Linked DNA regions of Macaca fascicularis. The protein of the gene in region 1 interacts with the protein of each later gene in a pairwise test. Links are inferred from orthologs where the notes say so. Each region holds a gene or a part of one and is shown on either strand. Other genes may lie near its edges.

The links.
Region 2: the proteins of MTUS2 (region 1) and DTNB interact in binary tests that used the Homo sapiens proteins (3 or more experiments, as listed by UniProt). The two-hybrid records come from large-scale screens. The link is inferred for Macaca fascicularis from reciprocal best matches to the Homo sapiens genes MTUS2 and DTNB.
Region 3: the proteins of MTUS2 (region 1) and FAM124B interact in binary tests that used the Homo sapiens proteins (3 or more experiments, as listed by UniProt). The link is inferred for Macaca fascicularis from reciprocal best matches to the Homo sapiens genes MTUS2 and FAM124B.
Region 4: the proteins of MTUS2 (region 1) and SPG7 interact in binary tests that used the Homo sapiens proteins (3 or more experiments, as listed by UniProt). The two-hybrid records come from large-scale screens. The link is inferred for Macaca fascicularis from reciprocal best matches to the Homo sapiens genes MTUS2 and SPG7.
Region 5: the proteins of MTUS2 (region 1) and C3H21orf58 interact in a two-hybrid assay, tested with the Homo sapiens proteins (3 studies listed by BioGRID and IntAct). The two-hybrid records come from large-scale screens. The link is inferred for Macaca fascicularis from reciprocal best matches to the Homo sapiens genes MTUS2 and C21orf58.
Region 6: the proteins of MTUS2 (region 1) and RPA1 interact in binary tests that used the Homo sapiens proteins (3 or more experiments, as listed by UniProt). The two-hybrid records come from large-scale screens. The link is inferred for Macaca fascicularis from reciprocal best matches to the Homo sapiens genes MTUS2 and RPA1.
Region 7: the proteins of MTUS2 (region 1) and PKP2 interact in binary tests that used the Homo sapiens proteins (3 or more experiments, as listed by UniProt). The two-hybrid records come from large-scale screens. The link is inferred for Macaca fascicularis from reciprocal best matches to the Homo sapiens genes MTUS2 and PKP2.

Annotation. Positions count from the first base shown.
Region 1 is NC_088391.1:9,331,526-9,335,025, forward strand, and holds part of MTUS2 (microtubule-associated tumor suppressor candidate 2), read left to right. Parts: intron 1-1,794; coding exon 1,795-1,893; intron 1,894-3,016; coding exon 3,017-3,136; intron 3,137-3,500. UniProt on the Homo sapiens protein: Binds microtubules. Together with MAPRE1 may target the microtubule depolymerase KIF2C to the plus-end of microtubules. May regulate the dynamics of microtubules at their growing distal tip.
Region 2 is NC_088387.1:96,619,695-96,623,194, reverse strand, and holds part of DTNB (dystrobrevin beta), read right to left. Parts: intron 3,397-3,500; coding exon 3,183-3,396; intron 1-3,182.
Region 3 is NC_088386.1:120,349,930-120,353,933, reverse strand, and holds the start of FAM124B (protein FAM124B), read left to right. Parts: upstream 1-1,204; 5' UTR 1,205-1,541; coding exon 1,542-2,273; intron 2,274-2,804; coding exon of another isoform or gene 2,805-2,891; exon of another isoform or gene 2,892-2,985; intron 2,986-4,004.
Region 4 is NC_088394.1:85,469,362-85,472,861, reverse strand, and holds part of SPG7 (mitochondrial inner membrane m-AAA protease component paraplegin), read right to left. Parts: coding exon 3,341-3,500; intron 1-3,340. UniProt on the Homo sapiens protein: Catalytic component of the m-AAA protease, a protease that plays a key role in proteostasis of inner mitochondrial membrane proteins, and which is essential for axonal and neuron development.
Region 5 is NC_088377.1:814,580-818,079, forward strand, and holds the end of C3H21orf58 (uncharacterized protein C21orf58 homolog), read left to right. Parts: intron 1-2,268; coding exon 2,269-2,360; intron 2,361-2,692; coding exon 2,693-2,845; 3' UTR 2,846-2,847; exon of another isoform or gene 2,848-2,986; intron 2,987-3,130; 3' UTR 3,131-3,455; downstream 3,456-3,500.
Region 6 is NC_088390.1:1,945,412-1,949,628, forward strand, and holds the start of RPA1 (replication protein A 70 kDa DNA-binding subunit), read left to right. Parts: upstream 1-1,417; 5' UTR 1,418-1,524; coding exon 1,525-1,557; exon of another isoform or gene 1,558-1,565; intron 1,566-4,217. Other genes in the region: SMYD4 (SET and MYND domain-containing protein 4), read right to left, coding at 484-528. UniProt on the Homo sapiens protein: As part of the heterotrimeric replication protein A complex (RPA/RP-A), binds and stabilizes single-stranded DNA intermediates that form during DNA replication or upon DNA stress.
Region 7 is NC_088385.1:35,430,859-35,434,358, reverse strand, and holds part of PKP2 (plakophilin-2), read left to right. Parts: intron 1-3,342; coding exon 3,343-3,460; intron 3,461-3,500. UniProt on the Homo sapiens protein: A component of desmosome cell-cell junctions which are required for positive regulation of cellular adhesion.

The DNA.
Region 1 (3,500 bases):
CTACTCAGGGAGCTTGCAGACCAGGGTCGTCCACCATAAGAAAGCAAGCAGTCAAGCCAGTGCTTCCCATGTTAGTGTCACTGTGTACACTTACTAGCATTCACAATATCGCCTCCCATTATTTGGCGGATGAGGCCATTTCTCTTGCCAGAACAGTCCACGGGAGGCTGGGCACGGTGGCTCACGCCTGTAATCCCAACACTCTGGGAGGCTGAGGCGGGTGGATCACTTGAGGTCAGGAGTTCAAGATCAGCCTGGGCAACATGGCGAAACCCTGTCTCTACTAAAAATACAAACATTAGCTGGGTGTGCTGGTGCGCACCTGTAGTCCCAGCTACTTGGGAGGCTGAGATGGGAGGATCCCTTGGATCCCTTGAGCCTGGGAGGTGGAGGTTCCAGTGAGCCGAGATCGTACCATTGCACTCCAGCCTGGGCAACAGAGTGAGACCCTGTCTCTCTCTCTCTCTCTTTCTCTCTCCTTCTCTCTTTTTTTGTGTGTGTGTGTATCTGTATATCTGTATACTTTTTTAGAAGAGTTAATGGGAGAGCCTAGTTTCTGTGTTTTGATATTATAGAAATGGTGCTGGGCAAAGAGCTTTGGACTGGTCTGCATGAGTGAGACATGAAGGGTGAAGCTCTCCTTGGGCATCAGCGGTCCTTTGCCAGCCTGTGGTCCTGAGAGTCATGGCGGGAGCTGAGTGGGGCAGGGTCAGTGCAGGTGCATCTGCGCTGGGAGCTGGGGAAGGGGTGCAGTGTCTCCATAGACACCCTTATATTCCTTCAACCTGCAGGTGGAGAGTGGCCAGCGGCCTGCCTAACTGGCAGGCATGGGAAGGCTAAGGGCTGGGAGCGCCAGTCTGGCCACGGGGCGGGTCTGAGCAGGGAGGAGGAGACTGTGTGGAGTTGGCTTACGTGGCAGCTCCTATCAAGGACATGCAACCCAGTCCTGAGGCCGGGAAGGCTGTGTGGGAGCCAGAGTGAAGCGGGAGTGAGAGGGAGCTGGCTGGAGGAAGGCACTGGCAGCAGGAGAGCTGGCACAAGAGGAAAGGGAGGCAGCGAGGCTGGGAGGACGCTGTGTTAGGGAGCGTGCACTGCAGCTTGAGGGCAGTGGGGTAGGAGAGAGGAGAAGGACAGGTTCCGGTTTGCACGTTAGAAAGAGTGCCTCACTACATGTAGTGTGAGGGCAAAGGAGTGATCATTCAGAAAAAAACAGGAATCGTCTCAGAAAGTAGCCAGCAGAGTGGCCGGAGCTCAGGGGAGTCTGTGGGTTCTAGGGACATTCAGGATGGCAGGACTTGATTATGGACTTCGTGATGAGAAGGTTTGGTGATGTGGGAGGGGTCCCAAGGGAGAGAAGGAAGTCAAGGAGGGCTTGAAGGGTTCTGGATTGAGCTTCCTAAATGAGAATACATCTTTGAAATACGTTCATCGTGGTCCTTCCCAAAGCCAGGGGCTGGGTGCCTCCTGGACAAGAGGCGCCTCTGAGGATTCTCTCTGAGGATTGTCTGCCTCTGTGGGATCAGAGGTTGTGAAACGCCCCCGGCTCACTGTGCTTTTGTGGTCTCTTCCTGACAGAGCACCAAGGAGGAGTGAGCCGAGGGCAGACGCGGGGGGACACCCTCCTCCATCGTGTGGCTGTGGGGGTTCCCCTTTGGCACCTCTTTCTCCAGCCCCCAGGGAAACGCTCTGAGGGTGCTCAGGGCACAGTGGTGGCCCACTGATCACAGCTGCCCAGGCTGTGGTGGCTGCTGTCTGTAGTGGCCCCAGCTGGACTCCTTGTATCATTACTTGCAGGACCAGGTGGACACGCTGACCTTCCAGAGCCAGTCTCTGCGGGACAGAGCCCGCCGCTTCGAAGAGGCCTTGAGGAGGAACACAGAGGAGCAGCTGGAGGTAGTTTTCCAGGCTTCCAGCCCCGCAGGGACCCCGCCCCAGCGAGGCCAGCGGGGCTCCCTCAGCAGTCCAGTCCCGAGACAAGGCCTCTCTGTGAATCCACTGCTGAAGTGACAGCTGGTCACGGCCTCCCCTGGATTTTTAAACAATTGCTGTCAGCACCTCTCCCCTGAGACAGACAGCAGCTGTGGGTTTCTCCAGCGACGTGTTATTTTTGCCAAATTCCGCAGCATTCCCCAGCTGGAGTCCCAGGGCTCCTGTGATAAGCATGGTCTGGAAACCCCCACCCTGGCCCGGCCACCCCTTCCAGCCCATTCTCCCGGCCCGGCCACCCCTTCCAGCCCGTTCCCCCGGCCCGGCCACCCCTTCCAGCCCGTTCTCCCGCAACTTTTTAGGCTGACGTGGGGCAGCCTTGGCTGCAGCATGCGTTAACAGGTTGAGGGGAATTTTTTCCAGAAAAGCTGGCAAAGTTCCTTCCCTCTAATGTAGGGTTGCCAAATAAAATACAGGACACCCAGTTAAATTTGAATTACAGATAAATTTTTGAGTGTAAGTCTGTCCCATGCAATACTTATACTGAATTTTTTAAAATGTCATTTATCTGAATTTGGATTTAACAGGACCTACTGTATTTTAATTTGTTACATCCAGCAGCACTACCCCAACGTGACTTTTGTCTAAAATGGCTTTTCTGCTTCTTAAACCACTTGACTCATTTCCTATGCATGGGCTCTTTACGGGCATAGGTGAGACCTGTAAGAGTCCCAGCTACCTCGTGAATCAAGTCTTCCGGGTGAATGTTAAAAGCCAGTGTTGGGTTTACTCTTTCTACCCCATGAGCTCCCTGCTGGGCATAGGCTGGCAGCACCCAGCAGTTCTGGAGTCAGACTTTCCAGTGGACGATGGCCGTGTCTCACCTGCTCCCCCACAGAACTGGATTTTAGGAGGCTTCTCAGTGGGAAACTTTATCAGGGAAGGCTGTAGCATCCTCTCTCTTTGGTGTCGCAGTTGCCATCAGGGCACTTGTCCCAGGAGGATGGATTTAGCTGGATTCGTGGTATTGGTTAATACTGGGTTTTGTCGGGAGCCCTGGTCAACAGCTCATGGCTCTCTGCCCCTGTAGATTGCATTGGCTCCTTATCAGCACTTGGAAGAAGACATGAAGAGTCTGAAGCAGGTATTAGAGATGAAGAATCAGCAAATACATGAGCAGGAAAAGAAGATTCTCGAGCTGGAAAAGCTGGTGAGTTGGTCCATTTGCTCGCGAGAGTAACTAACCTCCATGACATTCCTGCTGTCATCACTGAGGTCATCGTTGACACTGAGGTGTTCAGCCAGGTGTGTCTGTTACCTGCCCATTGCTTACACCTATGCAGAAAATCCCACCGCGGGCCTTTCCCAGGAAGCCAGGAGCTCTCATAAGGAATCTTGGAGGTGGCCTTATCTTGTCCAACTCTGGAGCCTTTCTGATGGGTGGCCTCTTTCTGCTTTGCGCTGGTTTTCCCACAGTCCTGCTGTCTCCTTGCCCTCTCTTGGGGACGTGTGGTGACCCAGCACAATGCAGCATCCCCAGTGCCCAGGCACTGCACGGAGCACTTTCCCCGAGC
Region 2 (3,500 bases), on another chromosome or scaffold:
AGTATTAAACAAAATTAGGTCTTAAGAAAATACTAAGGAAAAGTCTTAGACCCTATTTGTTCCTGACTGTTGTTTCAGGGTCTTATACTCTATTATTATAATAAACAGAAATCATCTGGCCAAACACAGGGACTATAAATTTGGAGATGAGAGAAGATTAAATAATTGTTGCTTTCAAATTTTAACCTTATGGAATTATGAAATACAAAGGCTGGAAGGCTCAATTAAAATAAATAAATAGGTTGTCTATGTATAAAAGGAACTCTCCAGCCTAAGTAATAAAGCAGCCAATCAATAAAAAGACTAACATTTGAAGTATTTAATGACAAAATGCCCTGGTTTTCAAAATTAACATTCTAATAACCAGATTCTTTCTTTTCTTCCAAGACAAGAAGGTCAATTTTAAACTTCTAGATAGTCAAATAAGCTCTATCATATAAAGGTTTCAAAGGTAGTAAAGATGTGATCATTTATTCTGATACCATGGTTAATGTTTTAAACGTATCAAAGTAAAAATTACCCAACTCACTAATAACATACTATACCCCTTACTCTTCTTAACTTTTTTTTTTTTTTTTTTGCTAGCTATTTGCGGTATGTGTTTCTACACATCTGCCTTCATCTGATTCACTGTCCACTTATTCTCATTGTCTCTCTGTATGTGTCTATCCTTCTCTGAATATGGCCCAGGATATCCTTATACCTTCTGCTTCTAAGTTTGGTCTTCCCATTCTCCTTTTTGCCATCTCTGTCCTCTTCCTTCCTCTCCCCTCTTTAGCCATATGCTATAACCTGAATGTCTGTATTCCCCCAAAATTCACACATTAAAATCCTCACCCCCAAGGTACGGTATTAGAAGGTGGGACCTTCTGAAGATGATTAGGTCATGAGGGTGTCCTCATGAACGGGATTAGTGCCCTTATAAAAGAGGTTCCAGAGAACTCTTTGCCCCCTTTGTCATGTGAGGATACCGCAAAAAGGTGCCATCTAGGATCCAGAAAGCAAGCCCTCCCCACACACAGAATCTACCTTGATCTTGAACTTCCCAGCCTCCAGAACTGTAAGAAATAAATCGTGTTGTTGATAGAGTGCCCAGTTTATGGCGTTTTGTTAGAGCAACCCAGTAGGCTAAAGAGCCATTGTATTTAACTTACTTGACATAATTACGGAATCCAAGATTTTAATCTCTGCTTGACCATTTTTAGAGAGTAAGATGGTTTTTATTTCTGACTTTAAAAAATATTGTTTATTCAGTTAATTTGTGTTGTGTGATCCATGAATTGATTTATTGAGTGAGTCAGTGTCATGAAAAGGTGCTGCTTACCTATCACAGAATAACAATGTTTCCTAAGGGTTTGGAAACAAAAAGCCAGTTCTTGGGCAAGAAAAAATTAACTTATAGAGTCACTAACTTAAATTACTAAAAAATGGCATTAGAATTCTGGGACTAACATCACTTATACACTCTTATTTTTAAAATTCAGATTTCTGCCGGGCACAGTGGTGCACACCTGTAATGCCAGCTACTAGAGAGGCTGGGGAGGGAAGACTATTTGAGCCCACTAGCTTGAGACCAGACTGGGAAACATAGCAAGACCCCATCTCAAAAAAATAAGTAAATTTCTTTAATAATTTTCTATTAAAAGGATACAATGTCTAATTTGATAACAGCTTATAAAAATGGTGTGAATTTAGTGACTGCTTAAATTCTGATTTGGCTTTGACATTTCCATAGTTTTACCACTAATTAACAGACTCCTCCCTATTATAAGATATAATTAATAGCATTTTACAAATGTATGAACTCAAAGAAGGTCTACAGACAGCAAAAAATGAAGCAGAGACAATCCATTCAAATCAGATGGCCAAGAGTATAGCAGAAACTAGAACTCTTGGTTCGCAGAACATCACCATTTAACCTCTGTACTTCCACAATCAAAAATCTGTGCTTTACAATTTTGTTTCATTGTTTACAATACCAACTTAATTATCCATGAATATAAGTGCAGCAAATAGTGTCCGTTTCAATTGGAGTACATTTAAATAGTTTTCTTTTTTTGTTTTAAGATCTACTAAACTATGTTCTGCAATGAAAAAATTTCAAATAGGTTCCTAGACATAAAGAGAAAATCAGTTTGGTCGGGTGCAGTGGCTCACGCCTGTAATCCCAGCACTTTGGGAGGCCGAGGTGGGCAGATCACCAGAGGTCGGGAGTTCGAGATCAGCCTGACCAACATGGAGAAACCCCGTCTCTACTAAAAATACAAAATTAGCTGGGCGTGGTGGCGCATGTCTGTAATACCAGTTACTTGGAAGGCTGAGGCAGGAGAATTTCTTGAACCCAGAAGGCAGGAGGCAGTAGTGAGTGGAGCTCACACGCCATTGCACTTCAGCCTGGGCAACAAGAAAGAAACTCCGTCCCAAAAAAAAAGAGAGAGAGAGAGAAAATCAGTTACTATAGTCCAGTATTTGATGTTACAGAGTACAGATTAGCCTTCTGAACAAACTAGGCATAGAAGAAAAAAGAAAGAGGAGCCTTAGAAGTCAAATAGCCCCATAATCAAATTTAAAACTTAGCATTTTTCACGAGCTAGAGAACAGCTGTATTAAGGTATCTTTAATTTTCCCAAACAATACATCTCAAACATTGTGATTCTCCACAATATTCCAGAGTTTAATATACGACATACTCTAGGACAGTAAGTCACTGTGAACCAGTTTCTAGAGGGGCTTACACTGAAAAATTTTCCTGTTTTTTGTTTGTTGTTGTTGTTGTTTTTAAGACGGAGTCTTACTCTGTCGCCCAGGCTGGAGTGCAGTGGCGCAATCTCGGCTTACTGCAACCTCTGCCTCCCAGGTTCAAGTGATTCTCCTGTCTCAGCCTCCCGAGTGGCTGGGACTATAGACGTGTGCCACCATGCCTGGCTAATTTTTTGTATTTTTAGTAGAGACGGGGTTTCACCGTGTTGGCCAGGATGGTCTCCATCTCCTAATCTTGTGATCCGCCCGCCTTGGCCTCCCAAAGTGCTGGGATTACACGCATGAGCCACCGCATCCAGCTGATAAATTCCCTTTTAACCGTGATTCTAAGTTGCCAGCCCTTAGCAAGGCAGTATGCAAGAAGAATGACTCAGAGACAGGTGTTCTTAAAATGAAGTAAGCATGTAAGGTAAGGTACTAGCCTGTCATATGCAGCAATCATAAAGTTGAGGAGGAGGCTGATAGATTGTTCCACACTAATTTGGTGAGTAGAAGGAAGGCGCTTGTTCAACTGATAGTAGATGGAGGAGATGACAGTTTCAAGGCGGGACACACTGATCTCGGTGGTATGGTCCAGTGTATTAAGGCCATTGTCTCGGAAGGCTTCAATCATGTTCCAGATATCAACAAGATGAACTAAAAGACAAAGAAAATAAACTGTCAACAATGTTAAAGTGTGGTACTACCCTTCACAATAGGAATCTTAAATTTATCAACTAGTTCTTAAATTTAAAGAGAAG
Region 3 (4,004 bases), on another chromosome or scaffold:
TATTTAGAACACATTTAGGGTGAGTGTTGTTTAGAGCTTGACAACATTCTCATTGAAGATTATTCCATTTAAGATTCAACAGCTCAAGAGTCTGCAAATCTAGATCCTTAACCAGAACTTGCTTTTGTATTTTCCTTACAAGAGGAAGAGAACCCAGGCTGGGACTTCAAGGCCCCAGAGAGGCAGTGCAGCAGGTTCCTGGGTTCAAATCTTCCCTCAGCTACTGCTTAGCTGTGTGACCTTGGGCAAGTTACTTAGCCTTTCTATGCCCCAGTTTCTTCATCAGTAATTTGGGGCTAGTAATCTCTTCTTCATAGGTTTGTTGCAAGATTAAATTAATTTACATTAAGGGCCAGGTGTGGTGACTCACACCTGTAATCTCAGCACTTTGGGAGGCCAACGTGGGCAGATCACCTGAGGTCAGGAGTTCGAGACCAATCTGACCAACATAGCAAAACCCAGTCTCTACTAAAAATACAAAAAGAAAATCAGCTGGGAGTGATAGGGCATCTGCAGTCCCAGGTACTGGGGAGGCTGAGGCAGGAGGATCTCTTGAACCTGGGAGGTGGAGGTTGCAGTGAGCCTAGATCACACCACTGCACTCCAGCCTGGGCAACAGAGCAAGACTCCATCTACAAAAAAAAAAATTTACTTTAAGAATTAGAACAGTTTATGACTGGTACATAGTAGATCCTCAATAGACACTAAAAGTTATAATTATAATTGTTAATTATAATTATTATTATAATTATATGAGCAATTATTGGAAAGCTCTCACTCTTTCTAAAGAATTTGCATGAATCAAGGAAGACTAATTTTCTCAATGTCTTTTTAGTACACTCAGAATTTTCAGTACAGCAAATAATTTTCAGTGAAGTCAAAATTATTTAGATAAAATCTTCTCTTCATGCCCTAGCAGAAAATGTTCAGAAACAAAACGAAATAAAGAGACAAAGGAAAAAAAAAAAACTGGCAAGGGGTCAAGTTTTGAGAATTGTTTTCAAGAAGTCATTGTGTTCAGATTGGTGGAGCAGGCTACTGTAAACCGTAAGTAGGAAATGAGAACCCGTTGTGGGTTGATAAAATGGATGTCTTTTCAACTAAACAGATTGCTATCAGCCCAACAGAGCCAACTCATGTTCCTTTTTGCCTGGTCACTTCCTTTACTAAGTGTCTGTAAGAGCCGCCCATTTGGGTGTTTCTCAGGATTATAGGTTTTTAGGTCATATAGAAACCCTGGGGAACGCCTGAAAAGGCTAAACACAAGCAGTTACATTATGCACAAGCTGGATGACGTGACTCCACTGCTGCTGTGTGGAGCAGAGGCTGATGAACCCGAGCTTGTGTGAGCTTCTCTTGCGGCAAGTCCAGGGGTGGCCAGGAGCACGTGTTAGTCTGGTTAAGAGCTCTGCTCAGAAGTAGCTGCTGTAGCTGAAGGTTTTCGGGTGGGCTGAAGGCTGGGCCGCTCCTTCGTTCATTTCAGAAGTTGAACAGTGAGCCTTCTACACACGCTGTCCTTGTCATCCTCAGGCAGTTCCTCCATGGATGAGACACAGGGGCCTCTGGCCATGACTGTCCATCTTCTTGCCAACTCTGGGCACGGTTCGCTTCTGCAGAGGACTCTGGACCAGCTCCTGGATTGCATTTGCCCAGAGGTCCGGCTCTTTCAGGTGTCTGAACGGGCTAGTCCTGTGAAATACTGTGAAAAGTCCCTTTCCAAGCGGTACCGGTTTCCAGGGATGTCCGTGTTGCTTTTCCTGCACAAAAGCCTGGGAGAGGATCGGCTATTTCGCGTCCTGGACTCTCTCCAGCATTCGCCATGGCAGTGCTACCCCACCCAGGACACTTGGGGAAGGCTGTGTCCCTACCTTTTTGCCAACCAGGAGTTCTACAGCCTGGACAGCCAGATGCCCATCTGGGGGGTGAGGCAGGTGCACTGTGGCTCCGAGATCCTGAGGGTGACGCTCTACTGCAGTTTTGATAACTATGAAGACGCCATCAGACTCTATGAGATGATCCTGCAGAGAGAAGCCACCTTGCAAAAGAACAATTTTTGTTTCTTCGTGCTGTATGCCACCAAGAGCTTTGCTCTGCAGCTCTCCCTGAAGCAGCTGCCCCCGGGAATGTCAGTGGACCCTAAAGAGTCTTCGGTGCTGCAGTTTAAGGTTCGAGAGATCGGCCAGTTAGTGCCTCTGCTACCCAATCCATGCATTCCCATCAGCAGCACGAGGTGGCAGACTCAGGATTACGATGGCAACAAGATTCTGCTTCAGGTATTCCTGTTTCATCTTAGATCTTGTAGAGGCTCATGGAGCTGTGTAATTTTACATTGGAATGGGCCTAAGCTAGTGGTTCTCAGACTTGGTTGCACATTAGAGTCCCTCAGGGGCTTTTTAAAATTCCCACCCCAGGCCAGTTTGATCCAAATCTCTGGGAGCATCCAAGCCTGGGTAACTTTTTTTACAGCTTCTTGGATGACTCTAATCTGTAACAGGGTTGAGAATCACTAATCTCATAAAATCTCATCCGACAGATAAGAAAGTTCAGATTCCATGAATTCGCAGCTGACACAGGTACTTTATAGTAGAATCAGACAGGATTCTACTATAAAGATCAGAATCTTTACAAAGAATCAGCCTCCTTTCTCAGGCTTGCTGTTTAAATGCCTGTTAACTATACCCATATCCTTTGCTTACTCTTTGGGCTCGAGAATGTCATAAGCTCTTCTCATCTGACCGAAGGAAGTTGAAGTCATACTTATGCTTACAGACTTTTTTTTAATTTTTAATTTTTTTATTTTTTAGAGATGGGAGTCTTCCTCTGTTGCCCAGACTGGAGTGCAGTGGTGCCGTCATAGCTCCCTGAGGTCTCCACCTTCTGGGTTCAAATGATCCTCCTGTCTTAGCCTCCTGATTAGCTGGGACTACAGGCACGTGCCGCCATATCTGGCTATTTTATTTTATTTCTAGAGACGGGATCTTACTATGTTGGCCGAGCTTGTTTAAGGATGTTAAGTTTGCAGTGCTATTGACTTAATTTTTATTTTTTATTATTATACTTGAAGTTCTGGGGTAAATGTGTGCAACGCAGGTTTGTTACATAGGTATACATGTGCCATGTTGGTTTGCTATACCCATCAACTCGTATTGACTTAATTTTTAAGCATCTTGCATCACTGTCAAATTTTACCACATACCAAGTTAGACAGAATGCTTTCTTTAAAAAATCTTGAAATTAAAGCCTTCCTTTGTAACCATCCTTGAAAACCTAACATAGCAAGTGTGTATTTAGTCACGATAGCCGCCATGCATTGCCTTTCATGGTATGTGAGCCTGGGCGCTTAGTAGCTGTATGACTGTGGTCCTCAGTTTCTTCATTAGCACAATAAAGGCACCAGATAATTTGCATCTTCCTCTCTCATTTACAGTAAATGACCTGACACTCACAAAGTACATAATTAAGATAGTGCCAATAACTCAATTTTAGCTACTATTGTTCACATTATGCCCTATACTAAGGATTTTAAATTGATAATTTTATTTAATGCTTATAACAACCTACGAAGTTACTATTTTTCCCATTTTGGAGATAAGAAAACTGAACTCTCCAGGGGGTCAGTTATTTGCCCAAGACAGGAAGTATCTATCCACCCTGAAAGTTCATGTGGTCAGCTGCTGCAGTCCAGTGTATGTGTGTAAATGTGCATACAGGGGGATGAATGTGATGTTCACAGCAAAATATCCTGTGGCTTCTGTCATTAAGAAATGGTCAGAAGCTCCTTAAGGCCTACTGGATAAAGTAATAAGAGACTACAAGATGAGATGTCTTTCCATTTGGTTAATTTTGTTGTCATCACTTTGACTTGTTAATAAAATATGAATCATACTGATTCTACATTAAATGATTTCTAAATTATTCACCTTCTTGTTCACATAAGGTAGATAGGCACTGTTTCTGTTAGTTGCCTATTATAAAACCCCATAATTTCCAAGGCACCTAAAATT
Region 4 (3,500 bases), on another chromosome or scaffold:
ACGAGGTCGGGAGATCGAGACCATCCTGGCTAACACGGTGAAACCCCGCTCTACTGAAAATACAAAAATTAGCCGGGCGTGGTGGTGGGCGCCTGTAGCCCAGCTACTCGGGAGGCTGAGGCAGGCGAACGGCGTGAACCCGGGAGGCGGAGCTTGCAGCGAGTGGAGATCACATCACTGCACTCCAGCCTGGGCGACTCAGCGAGACTCCGTCTCAAAAAAAAAAAAGAGCACTCTGACCACCGTGGCAACGCTTCTGTAAGTCTAAAGGGATTTCGCAATGAGAGGTGAAGCAAGTTCCCCCTTAGCTGAGTGGTCAGAACTGGGCTGTGCAGGCGCTAAGACACACGACTCCAAGCAGCCACAGGCAACAAAGAAAACAGCAAGTCAACAGTTCTCTTGGAGCCAGATCACTCGGGGAAAAAAAGTCTCCCTCATCTACGATACCTAAAACGTAACTAGAATTCTGATTAAAAATAAACCCTACAAAGCAGAGACTTCCAAAAGATGCTTGTACTTATGTAAACACAGCCCAATTCACAACAGCCCACGTGTCCACCGACGGCGAATAAACAAGAGGCAGCCTCTGCACAGCAGGCAGCATTGTTCAGCCTCAAGGAGGAAGGAAATCCTGACACGTGCCCAGCACTGACGGCCCCTGGAGATGTTATGTGCGTGAAAGAAGGCGGAGAGCAAAGGACAGACACCGCAGGACTCCAGTTCTATGAGGTCCCTACGACAGTCACTCAGAGACAGACAGCGGGACACAGGCTGCAAGGGGCTGAGGATGGACAATGGGGAGGGCTCAATGGGGCCAGGTTTTTGGTTTGAAGAGAAAGTTCTGGAGACACACGGTGGTGGTGGTTGCTCAACAGGCGAATGTACTTAATGCCGATGAACTTCAGAATGATTAAAATGGTAAATTTATGTGAATGTATTTTTTTAATTGTTTTGTCGAGACAGGGTCTCGCTGTGTTATCCAGGCTGCAGTGCAGAGGCTGTTCACAGGCAAGACCATCGCACAGTACACCACCGAGCTCGGGCTCCAGCACTCCTTCTGCCTCCGCCTCCCAAACAGCCGGGAACACAGCCACCGCCAAGCTTGGCTATCTGTATATTTTACCACAACAATATCCACATTAAAAAAAAATAATAATAATCTTGCAAAAGTAGGTCAGGAGAAAAATAGTTCCAGGTCACCTTTACTGGGTCAGCTCCATTTAAAAAAAAAAATTGTCAAAGCCAGACCAGAAGTCATCTTCAAGGGGTCACAACATGTGGGGCGCCTCCCTCCCCGCAGTGCAGCGCGCTGATGCTCTGCTGGGCCCTCTAACCAGAGTCTCACCTTCTCGGGGGGCACAGGGAGAGGCGTGGCGGCACAATCACACAGACCCATTACAGACCTAAAGACAGGAGCGCGCACTCAGACCGACCCATTACAGACCTAAACACAGGAGCGCGCACTCTGACCGACCCATTACAGACCTAAACACAGGAGCGCGCACTCTGACCGACGCATTACAGACCTAAAGACAGGAGCGCGCACAATCACACAGACCCATTACAGACCTAAAGACAGGAGCGCGCACTCTGACCGACCCATTACAGACCTACAGACAGGAGCGCGCACTCTGACCGACCCATTACAGACCTACAGACAGGAGCGCGCACTCTGACCGACCCATTACAGACCTAAACACAGGAGCGCGCACTCTGACCGACGCATTACAGACCTAAAGACAGGAGCGTGCAGTCAGACCGACCCATTACAGACCTAAAGACAGGAGCGCGCACTCAGACCGACCCATTACAGACCTAAAGACAGGAGCGCGCAGTCAGACCGACCCATTACAGACCTAAAGACAGGAGCGCGCACTCAGACCGACCCATTACAGACCTAAAGACAGGAGCGCGCAGTCAGACCGACCCATTACAGACCTAAAGACAGGAGCGCGCAGTCAGACCGACCCATTACAGACCTAAAGACAGGAGCGCGCACTCAGACCGACCCATTACAGACCTAAAGACAGGAGCGCGCACTCAGACCGACCCATTACAGACCTAAAGACAGGAGCGCGCACTCAGACCGACCCATTACAGACCTAAAGACAGGAGCGCGCACTCAGACCGACCCATTACAGACCTAAACACAGGAGCGCGCACTCTGACCGACCCATTACAGACCTAAACACAGGAGCGCGCACTCTGACCGACCCATTACAGACCTAAAGACAGGAGCGCGCACTCAGACCGACCCATTACAGACCTAAAGACAGGAGCGCGCACTCTGACCGACCCATTACAGACCTAAACACAGGAGCGCGCACTCTGACCGACCCATTACAGACCTAAAGACAGGAGCGCGCACTCTGACCGACCCATTACAGACCTAAAGACAGGAGCGCGCACTCAGACCGACCCATTACAGACCTAAAGACAGAAGCGGCACCAGCTGCTCCAGAACCTGTCTAGCGGTCTTTCTGGGTTTTGCTGGAAAGCCCCTAAAAAACAGTAATAATGCAAAAAAAGGCTGGGTGCCGAGGCTCATGCCTGTAATCTCAGCACTTTGGGAAGCTGCGGCAGGCCGACCGCCTCAGGTCAAGAGTTGAAGACCAGCCTGGCCAACCTCGTCTCCACTAAAAATACAAAAATTAGCCGGGTGTGGTGGCACGTGCCTGTAATCCCAGCTACTTGGGAGACTGAGGCAGGAGAATCGCTTGAACCTGGGAGGCGGAGGTTGCAGTGAGCCGAGATCGTGACATGTACTTCACCCTGGGCAACAAGAGTGAGACTCCATCTCAAAAAAATAAAAAGATTACATCTGACATACCGCTTCTATTCCTACTTATCTTTTTTACTATTGCCTTGACGTTTTTTAAATTAAAAGTTGTGCTTTTTTTTTTTTTTTGAGATGGAGTCTCCCTCTCTCACCCAGGCTGGAGTGCAATGGTGAGATCTCGGCTCACTGCCACCTCCACCTTCCGGGTTCAAGCGATGCTGCAGAGCAGCGGGGATTACAGGCACCCGCCATCATGCCCGGCTGATTTTTGTATTTTTGTAGAAATGGGGTTTCAGCATGTTGGCCAGGCTGTTCATAAAATCCGGACCTCCGTGGTCTGCCTGTCTTGGCCTCCCAAAGTGCTGGGATTATATAGGCGTGAGCCACTGTGCTGGGTCTAAAAGCTGTATTTCTTTTTTTTTTTTCTTGAGACGGAGTCTCACTCTGTCACCTAGGCCGGAGTGCAGTGGTGCGATCTTGGCTCGCCACAACCTGTTCTGAAAGACATCAGAAAACCTTCTCTGATGGTGCACTGGGGGTGTGGGGTGCACGAGCACTGACCGTCCATTTCTACCAGAAGCTGGTTGAGCGTCTGCTCCTCCTCCGTGTTGGAGAACCCGGACATGGTGGTGGAGCGCTTCTTGCCCACCGCGTCAATCTCATCGATGTAGACGATGCAGGGGGCCCGGGCTCGGGCTTCCTTGAAGAGGCTTCGCACGCG
Region 5 (3,500 bases), on another chromosome or scaffold:
TGAGCCACCATGCCTGGCCTTGGCTACTTGAATATCCTTTTTTGTGAAGTGTCCATTTAAGTAATTTGCCCATTTTTCTTTCAGACTGTCTGCCTGCCTTATTGGTTTCTAGGGATTCTTTATAAGTTCTTTAATGAGTCCTTTTTTGATACATGTATTTTGAGTATTCCATCCTTCTTGTGGTTGCCTTTTCAGTCTCTTCATGGTGTCTGTGGATGAACACATTTTATTATTTATTTTTTGGGGAGACAGTATCTCGTTGTTACCCAGGCTACCCAGGCTAGAGTTCAGGGGCATGCATGATCACGGCTCCCTGCAGCCTTGAACTCCTGGGCTCAAGCGATCCTCCTACCTCAGCCTCCTGAGTAGCTGGGACTACAGGCGTGCACCACGACAACTGGCTTAGATGTTTTAGTGTTTTTTTTTTTTTTTTTTGAGATGGAGTTTCAATCTCGTCCAGGCTCGAGTGCAGTGGCACGATCTTAGCTCACTGCAACCTCTGCCTCACGGGTTCAAGCGATTCTGCCTCAGCTACTCCCAAGTAGCTGGCATTACAGGCTTGAGCCACCACGCCTGGCTAATTTTTGTATTTTTAGTAGAGACAGGGTTTTGCTTGTCTCGAACTCCTGACCACAGGTGGTCCACCCAACTGGGCCTCTCAAAGGGCTGGGATTATAGGCCTGAGCCACTGCACCAGGCCTTTTTTCTTTTTTCTTTTTTTTTTTGAGACGGAGTCTCACTCTGTCACCCAGGCTGGAGTGCAGTGGCACGATCTCAGCTCACTGCAAGCTCTGCCTCCCAGGTTCATGCCATTCTCCTGCCTCAGCCTCCCGAGTAGCTGGGACTACCAGCGCCTGTCACCACGCCCGGCTAATTTTTGTGTTTTTAGTAGAGACGGGGTTTCACCATGTTAGCCAGGATGGTCTTGATCTCCTGACCTCGTGATCCACCTGCCTTGGCCTCCCAAAGTGCTGGGATTACAGGCGTGAGCCACCGCGCCCAGCCGCTTTTTTTCTTTTGAGACGGAGTCTCGCTCTGTTGTCCAGGCTGGCGTGCACTGTCGCCATCTTAGCTCACTGCAACCTCTGCCGCTTGGGTTCAAGCAATTCTCTTGCCTCAGCCTCCCAGCTAGCTGAGATTACAGATGCCCACCACCACGCCCTGCTAATTTTTGTATTTTTAGTAGAGATGGGGTTTTGCCATGCTGACCAGGCTGGTCTCAAACTGCTGACCTCAGGTGATCCACCTGCCTCGACCTCCCAAAGTGCTGGGATTACAGGTGTGAGGCACCGTGTCTGGCTAATTTTTGTATTTTTAGTAGAGACAGGGTTTTGCCATGTTGGCTAGGCTGGTGTCGAACTCCTGACCTCAGGTGACCCACCCACCTTGGCCTCCCAATGTGCTGGGATTACAGGCGTGAGTCACTGCGCCCGGCCCATCTCATGATCCTTAATGACATCTGCAAAGACTCTTTTTCCAAATAAGGTCACACTCTGAGGTGAGGGGAGACTGAGACATGGACATGCCTTTCTGGGATCCCCACGCAGCCTGGGGGGAGGAGGCGGGAAGGCAGATGGGAGTAGCCTCCTAAGGAGCTGTGGGGCCCATCACACACCTTTCAACATGCACACCCTCTGACCTAGAGATTCCACAACTCAGAGTACACCCCGGGGACCCGCACGGTGTACAGACAGACTCAGAGCCTGCCCCGGGGAGCCGCACGGTGTACAGACAGACTCAGAGCCTGCCCCGGGGACCCGCGCGGTGTACAGACAGACTCAGAGCCTGCCCCGGGGAGCTGTACGGTGTACAGACAGACTCAGAGCCTGCCCCGGGGACCCGCACGGTGTACAGACAGACTCAGAGCCTGCCCCGGGGAGCTGTACGGTGTACAGACAGACTCAGAGCCTGCCCCGGGGACCCGCACGGTGTAGACAGACTCAGGGCACGCCCCGGGGACCCGCACGGTGTACAGACACACTCAGAGCCTGCCCCGGGGACCCACACGGTGTACAGACACACTCAGAGCCTGCCCCGGGGACCCGCGCGGTGTACAGACACACTCAGAGCCTGCCCCGGGGACCCGCACGGTGTACAGACACACTCAAAGCATGCCCCGGGGGAGCTGCACCGTGTACAGACTCAGGGCACGCCCCGGGGACCTGCACAGTGTAGACACACGTGTTCTCTGGTCCTATAACATGCTCTATCACTTTAACAAATATGAGAAACAGAAGCTTTCTTCAGGGTCCCCGTGTCTCCCTACAGACATGGTGGAGCTGCTGCTGCTGCAGAACGCACAGGTGCACCAGTTGGTCCTGCAGAACTGGATGCTCAAGGCCCTGCCCCCAGCCCTGCAGGTAGGTTCAGCCCCTAGCAGACCCCAAAGTCAAGGAAACACAGGGTCTGAGTGGTTTTTCCTCTGGAAATTTCTGCATCTGTGTAGCTCTGAAAGGGCGTTCCTGGCTCAGGTCTGCAGTCTGGCCGTGAAGCCCCCATCCCCATCGAGTCCCAGCCAGATGAGGAATGGGTTGCACAATTTGGGACTGGGGAGGGGCCTCCTCTGGAAGGATGCTTAGACCCCTGCCATCCTGCCTATCACACGGAACCCCGCCCCAGTTAGGAACAGGGCAGGAGTGGAGGTGGGGAGCAACCTGGGCCGCATCCTGAGCTGCAGGTGTGTCTGTGGCAGGACCCGCCATGTGTGCCCCCGGGGGTCCCACGAGCTGCCAGGCCAAGGCTGCCCGTCGTGCACCACCACCACCACCACCATGCTGCGTGGCCACCTGGGGCCGCCACTGTCCTCCAGCCCGCCCCCAACCCGTGGAAGCCCGGCCCACCCTGAATGTGAGTCACAGAGACCCTGGCCGGGGCACCCTCCACCCCCAGGCTTCCTCAGGGCTGTGGGCTGTGGCAGGTCCATGGAAAGGAGCAGGGGGAGACCCTGCTGCCCCCTAGAGTGGCCACGTGAGTGTGGACCGCAGGCCCCTCCGGGGGAAGCTGGGCAGGCTCGCTTTCTGGCCACAGGGCCATTCCAGGGGGCATCCCTTGCTCTGGGACCCCTGCAGTGAGGGGCCTGTGAACCCGCGCAGGGCAGCAGCCCCTCCCAGGGACCCTTCCTTTCCTGTAGTGTGGCGCCGGCCCACCTGGGAGCCTCAGGTCCCCCTCTTCCATCACGGAGGTAAAGTTGAGGCCGTGGACACTACCAGACTGATGATCCTGAAATAAAGATTTCATCCGGAAAGAGTTTAAGAAAACCTCAGCTCAGAAGCCAGAATCGGGAAGATCAATAGCTTTAGCCACATGGAATGTAAACATCCTGATGGGAAAAATACCACAAAGTCAAATTTAGTAACTAGGGACACCCGTTTATCACAGCTGTGGAGCAGACTCCCACTAAAGAAGTAGCGGTGCATGGTTCAATGCCTGTAGTCCCAGCATTTCAGAGGCTGAGGCAGGAGGATCACTTGAGCTCAGGAATTCAAGACCAGCCTGGGTCA
Region 6 (4,217 bases), on another chromosome or scaffold:
AGATAGCTATCATCCGTGTCCTCTTAGTGTTTTTTTTTGTGCGTGAGACAGTCTTGCTCTGTCCCCCAGGCTGGAGCGCTGTGGCACGATCTCGGCTCACTGCACCCTCTGCCTCCCAGGTTCAAACAATTCTCCTGCCTCAGCCTCGGAGTAGCTGGGATTACGGAGTGCGCCACTACTCTTGGCTAATTCTTGTAGTTTTAGTAGAGATGGGGGTTTCACCATGTTGACCAGGCTGGTCTCGAACTCCTGACCTCAGGTGATCCTCCAGCCTGGGTCTCCCAAAGCGCTGGGATTACAAGTGTGAGCCACCGCGCCCGGCCTGATCCCCCTAGTTTCTCAAGTCTGAAACCTGAGACACTTCCCCAGATTTTTCTTTCTCACCCACCCCAGCAACTATTCAATTAACAGGTATTTCTCTCTCTCATATAGTTCAGCGTTCTCTTTCAACCCCCAGGTCATTCCTTCGGTTTAAGTCCTCACCATCTCGTCTGGCATTCTTCCTAGAGTGTCATAATTAGTGTCCATGCCATTGGCACCCCCCCGCAACTTTCAATCCAGCCTCCAACACTGAGACAGAAGTCAGTGCTCTGCCTTAAATTCATCAACGCTACTCCAAGCATATCAGGAAGCCCAGGACAAAACCGTCCTTACTTGACCCTTGGCTGACTTTCTAATTCTCAGGTCTCACTTGTTCCTCTGCAGCCTTGCATACTGAACTACTCATTGCGATCCCCGGCTTGCCAGGCTATTTCATCTCTCCAAGGTTTTGGCAGAGGCTATTCGTGCTTTCCGGACCAATCCTACCCTGGCTTATGGAGTCCACCTGGAAAATTCCCACAGGTTCGTTCTTCGACTCGGTTCAAACGGCACGTCCTCTGGGAAGGCTTCCCTGATTTCCAACACTCTTGGGGCCTGTACCACGTCTACCTGGCGCTGGGGCTACTCACGGCATAAAGTGCCCCCACACACTGTCCTCTTCTCCACGGACAGGGACCAGGTCTGATTCCCCTTCGGAGACCCCCCCCTCAACGGTGCCAAGCTCAGGGTTTGGCCCCGGTCGAGAAGTCAGCCCCGCGTTGCTGGAGGAACCGGGTCACTGCTGCGACTCCATTTAGCAGCTGAGGTCTCAGGGAACAGCTTTAACCTCCTCTGGGCTACCAACCCGTGCACTGGCCGGAAACCGAGGCGAGAAAGCCTCGTGAGCCCGCTCACAGGCGCCCGGAACTGGGCCGCGGACTCCCTCCCCGCGCCCGCGCAGCTCCTGGCGCGCCCCTCGGCGCCCCGCCCCGCGCCCCGTGTTCCGCGCCAGGCCTCCCTTGGGCCCGCGAGCAAGTCACGTGCGCCGCGCCTCGGCCAATGTGGCGGCTGCGCAGCGCCCGGGCCCGCCCCTGGGACGCGCGCACGTCGGGGGCGGGAGCGGCGCACGCAGCTTCTCGGGCCAATAACTGCGCAGCGCGCGGGACCCCGGTGGGGAAGCTCCAGCTGTCGCGGGGTCCGCGCGGGAGTCGGGGCGGCGGAGCCATGGTCGGCCAACTGAGCGAGGGGGCCATTGCGGTGAGGAGGTGCCGGGGGCCGGGCCGGCGGTGCGGGATGGCTGCGGCCCCGAGCCTCGCGGAGTGGAGAGGGGGAGGGGAGCCCGGGGCGACGGGGGATGAACGCGAGGGGAGGAGAAGGCGGGGGGCGGTGGGGACCCGCCGAGCCCCCGTCTAGTGTCATCACCCCCTCCTCAAAGCATTCTTCTGATCGTCTTTGAAACATGCTCACGTTTTTCCTACTTAAGAACAAAGTAAATAAACGCTTGCCTTTTTCTGGATCTTCCACCTGCGGCCACTTTCTGTTTCTTCTCCTTTCCTGCCCCGCAGCCAAACTTCTTGTCTGGTTTCAGCCACTTCCTTTCCTCGCCTCTCATCAACTCTTTAACCCACTCCAGGCATCCCCTTGATCGCTGTAGAAAACCCTGGCTCAAGGGACCAGTGTCCTCCAAGTTGCTAAATCCAGCCCTTTTCCGTTTTCAGCTTACCTGAGTTCTCAGCAGCGTTTGCTTTTGAGCCCTGCTTCTTCTGCTCACGCCCTCTTCCTTGGGTTTTAGTGGCTCAGCTTGGCGGGTCTATCCCCGTCTTATTTGCAGGCCCCTCTTTGTAAATTTTTGTTGACTCAAGGCTCCCTCTAGGCCCTCTTGACTCCCAAAGGCAATTTCTTTTTTTTTTTTTTCTTCCAGCCTGGGCGACACTCACTGTGTGAGTGTCACACTGTGTCGCCCAGGCTGGAGTGCAGTGGCGCGATCTCGGCTCACTGCAACCTCCGTCTCCCGGGTTCAAGCGATTCTCCTGCCTCAGTCTCCCGAGTAGCTGGGACTACATGTGTGCGCCACCACACTTGGCTACTTTTTTGTGTTTTTATTAGAGACAGGGTTTCATCATGTTGGCCGGGCTGATCTCGAACTCCAGACCTCCATTGTGTCGCCCGCCTCGGCCTCCCAAAATGCTGGGATTACAGGCGTGACAAATTTCTTTGTATTGAGCCACCTTTACTCTAAAAGACAAACTTCTATAATCTATCTGCTTATTCCATGCTTCAGAGGCTTTTAAGTTCAATATACATATCCCAAAGCAAATTCGTTATCTTTCTAAGTCTGGGCCTCTTGATCCCTATCTCCACGAATGGTACCATTATCTGTTCAATTCAGTGCTAACCAGAGATTGAGAAATCATTCCTCCTACATTGTCCATCACCTGGGCGTCCAGTTCCTCACCAAGCGAAGTGTATTGTACCTCCGCGTAGATCTACCAAGCCCACCGGCTTCTTTCCATCCATACTGGCACCATCTTTTTTTTTTTTTTTTTTTTGCCTGGGCTGTTCACTTCCACTCAGCATACGTTCCTGCCACCATTCCCATCCACAGCATACTCTCAGCCTACTCTCCAGTCACCCCCACATTTTTTTTTACATTTAGATTTCTGGTATTTTTCATACTCCTCCCTTCTTCCATGGGGCATTTGAACATTTTTTTTTTTGAGACGGAGTCTCGCACTGTCACCCAGGCGCCCAGGCTGGAGTGCAATGGCAGGATCTCGGCTCACTGCAAGCTCCACCTCCCGGGTTCACGCCATTCTCCTGCCTCAGCCTCCCAAGTAGCTGGGACTACAGGCGCCCGCCACCATGCCCAGCTAATTTTTTGTATTTTTAGTAGAGATGGAGTTTCACCGTGTTAGCCAGGATGGTCTCGATCTTCTGACCTCATGATCCTCCTGCCTCGGCCTCCCAAAGTGCTGGGATTACAGGCATGAGCCACCTCGCCTGGCCGAACATATGTGCCCTTGAGTATTACATTTTGTCGCTTTGTATACTTACTAGGGCTTTTCTTTTTTTTTTTTTTTTTTTAGACAGGATCTCACTCTGTTGCCCAGGCTAGAGTGCAGAGGCGCGATCTCGGCTCGTGGCAACCTCCACCTCCCGGGTTCAAGCGATTCTTTTGCCTCAGCCTCCCAATTACAGACGTGTGCCACCACGCCCAGCTAATTTTTGTATTTTTAGTAGAGACGAGGTTTTGTCATATTGGTCAGGCTGGTCTTGAACTCCTGTCTTCAAGTGATCTGCCCACCTCGGCCTCCCCAAGTCCTGGGATTACAGACTTGAGCCATTGCACCGGGCCGTAGTCTTTTTTTTTTAAATGACAGTCTCGTTTTTTGTCTCTCAGGCTAGAGTGTAGTGGTACGATCATAGCTCACTGCAACCTCTAACTCCTGGGCTCAAGTGATCCTCCCACCCTAACCTCTCGAGTAGCTGGGACTACAGGTGCATGCCACCGTGCCCAGCTAATTTTTTTTTTTTTAATTTTGTGTAGAGATGGGGTTTCACCATCTTGCCTAAGCTAGTCTCGAACTCTTGGCCTCCAAACAGTTCTCCTGCCTTGCCTCCCAAGTCTTTGGGATTATAGGCATGAGCCACTGTGCCTGGCCTTGTCCCTTAAAATGAGTTATCCATTTGTAAACAGCTGGTTTCTTTGGAGCATTGTCCCCATATACTTTTCTTTCATAAAGCATTGGTGATTTCACCCTTCTTCCACCCAAGCTTCACCTTGAATTTGGTGTTCATTGTTGCTTCCATTTTAGCAGAATTCGTGTTGCTCCCATGGGACTCTTTTCAAATTGATGTCTAATCCTTCTTAGTGCCTCACACTAGATCTTGTTCAGACACGTTATAACAAGTTAGTA
Region 7 (3,500 bases), on another chromosome or scaffold:
GAAATAAACACCCTGGAGTTAAACAAAGCTAAGTCATCCATCTGCAAGGTACGCAGTGGGCTTAGCCAGGAAGAAAGACCTTTTGATTTGTCAAAGCAATTTTAAACTACTGCCATTTATCCCGGCTAGAGGTTGAAAAGGCCAAGGGGAAGCTTTTAAACATATGATAACATCACATAGTTGGGGACATATGGTATTTGCAGACTGAATGAATGCTAGATGGGGTTTGCTGTGTTCTGGGCCACCCTGGGTGCAGAATAAAGAACAGCCCTCTTTTCCTGACTTTACCACTAATTTGCTGTCACTGGGAAAAGTAACGGAAGCTCTTTTGGCTTCTAGTTTTTCATGTATAAAATAAGGAGACTGGAAAAGATGCTTTTTCAGTTTCTGTCAAGCTTCTGAAGCCCCATGATTCTTAAAGGGCTCACAAAGTAGATAGAGGATCTTGGCTGAAATGATCATTTCTTTGAAAAAAGCTAAGTAAAAAAATTGTTTTATTTCCAGCTTATGAACCCATTCATTATTTTTTTTTTAATGAACAAACTGTCCAAGTTTTTCAGGTACAGTAAAAATTAATAAGGAAGTAGAAGGGTCAAATGAGAATCAGTCACATAAGAGATTTTGTTAAAAGCTTTCATTATATCAATTCAGCAGCCATTAAATTGTTAGTATATTCTTAGTTTTAGGTATGTTAGTCTTATCGCCTCAACTGTCAGGTTGAATCATGAAATTGCCATTTTTGAGGGTTAAAACAGTCGGTTTTTGTTAGTTTCCAGAGTTCAACCTATAGATGTGATCTCCCTGAAAGCAAGGTATAATATTGTGTATCTTCCTCTCATTCCCTTTAGTTTTTTTTTTTTTTTTGAGACAGAGTCTAGCTTTGTGGCCCAGGCTGGAGTGCAGTGGTACGATCTCAGCTCACTGCAAGCTCCACCTCCCGGGTTCACGCCATTCTCCTGCCTCAGCCTCCCCAGTAGCTGGGACTATAGTCATCCACCACCACGCCCGGCTAATTTTTGTTTTGTATTTTTAGTAGAGACAGGGTTTCACCATGTTAGCCAGGATGGTCTCGATCTCCTGACCTCGTGATCCACCCACCTCAGCCTCCCAAAGTGCTGGGATTACAGGCGTAAGCCACCGTGCCCAGCTCCCTTTAGTTCTTGATATAATGCTTAGGCACCTTTGTTTCTTTGACAAATATACATTGAAAGCAGTATTTTGAGGCAGAAGGCCTTTTGGAAATCACTTATATTACTTTATTTTGTTAATTTTTTAGACAGGGTCTTGCTCTGTTACCCAGGCTAGAGTGTAGTAACACAATCTCGGCTCACTGCAGCCTCACCCTCCAGGCTCAAGCAGTCTTATTCCTCAGCCTCCCAGGTAGCTGGGACTACAGGCACATGCCACCATGCCTAGCTAGTTTTTTGTATTTTTTCATAGAGACAGGGTTTAGCCATGTTGCCCAGGCTGGTCTTAAACTCCTGGGCTCAAGCAATCCTCCTGGCTTGGACTTCCAAAATGCTGGGATTACAGGTGTTAGCCACAGCTTCTGGCCTATATTATTTTATTTATTTATTTATTTATTTATTTTATTTTATTTTTATTTTTTTTTTTGAGACAGAGTCTCGCTCTGTCGCCCAGGCTGGAGTGCAGTGGCCGCATCTCAGCTCACTGCAAGCTCCGCCTCCCGGGTCTACGCCATTCTTCTGCCTCAGCCTCCCGAGTAGCTGGGACTACAGGCGCCCGCCACCTCACCCGGCTAGTTTTTGTATTTTTTTAGTAGAGACGGGATTTCACCGTATTAGCCAGGCTGGTCTCGATCTCCTGACCTTGTGATCCGCCCATCTCAGCCTCCCAAAGTGCTGGGATTACAGGCTTGAGCCACCGCGCCCGGCCGCCTATATTATTTTAAAGATGAGGAAAATAAGGCTCAAAAATGTCTCGAAGTTGCAGTTCTTTTTGATGTTCAGAATGACACTAACACATTGTAAACAAAAAGTCCTGAACATATTTTGGATATTCTACCTACCAGTAAAAGAAACTGATCTGGGCCAGACGTGGTAGCTCATGCCTGTAATCCCAGCACTTTGGGAGGCTGAGGCGGGTGGTTCACAATGTCCAGAGATCGAGACCATCCTGGCTAACCAACATGGTGAAACCCCATCTCTACTAAAAATACAAAAATTAGCTGGGCGTAGTGATGCACGCCTGTAGTCCCAGCTACTCAGGGAGGCTGAGGCAGGAGAATCGCTTGAACCCGGGAGGTGGAGGTTGCAGTGAGCTGAGATCGCGCCACTGCACTCCAGCCCTGGTGACAGAGCGAGACTCCGTCTCAAAAAAAAAAAAAAAAATCTGATACATTTTGTATGGACAGTTCTTAACAAAGTTGGGAATAGAGGTGATTCTCAAGTTTTAAAAACCTGAAGGCCCTATTTTTTTGTCATTCTTGTTGACTGAGGTATTGACACTTTTGGAAAAAAAAATATGTTTAAGTAGTTAATGCTAGTAAGAAAAACTTAATCTAAGGGAAGGTAGTAACAATAATACCAGACTATAAACATGATGTGAATCTGCACTGTAATCCCCAAATGCATTACTTTCCTGTATTTGATAAGTTTCATTTCTCAGTAAACAACTTCCAATTGTAGGTTTAGTTACTGTTTGTAGAAAGGTGTCATGACTTAGCCATATTAGAAATAGAGAAGTGTAAAGATGTTCATGGGCCATACTCTTGACTGAAGCCTTACACACTGCAGACTCTTCCATGTTTTCTGTAACATCTCTCTGCCATTTTAATGGTAAAATAATCATATTTTAGAGCATCTGATTTAATATTTGTCAATAACAGTTTATACTGAAACTTAGAAAACCACAAAGAATGTAGTCCAACACACTGTCTTTACAAATGAGGAAACTGAGGCCCAGAGCAACTTTAAATTACTTAGAGTTAAAATTAGAGCAAATTGGGACTTGGCATCCAGTATATTATAATGTCTAATGTGCCATTTGCTCTCGTTCTAGTTACAAAAACATTTGCCTCATATCCAAAACAGTCAAAATGGAGCGAAGATTAAGTAAATAATGTTTTGATCATGGTGCTTGGAGTGAAGTAGACGGAAGACTTATGACACGATTACGTGTTGTTTGGAAATATTCAGAAAGTATGTTCATAGTTGATCCTTTAGGCAGTCAGTGATTTGTTGACTGGGCAAGTCTGTCACACTTTTACATATTTGCCAGTTTCCAAACACTTGGAAGAAGCGTCAAGTAAAACTTCAAAACAAAGGCCTGTTGGATACACAGCCTAAGACTTACGGTTTTTTGCTTACTTTTTTCTGGTAGAAACATGAGTTCTGCTGGCCCTGATGGGAGAAAAGCAATGAGAAGATGTGACGGACTCATTGACTCACTGGTCCATTATGTCAGAGGAACCATTGCAGATTACCAGCCAGATGACAAGGTGATTCAAGAGATAACTATCCTGTTCTGTCTTACTAAGA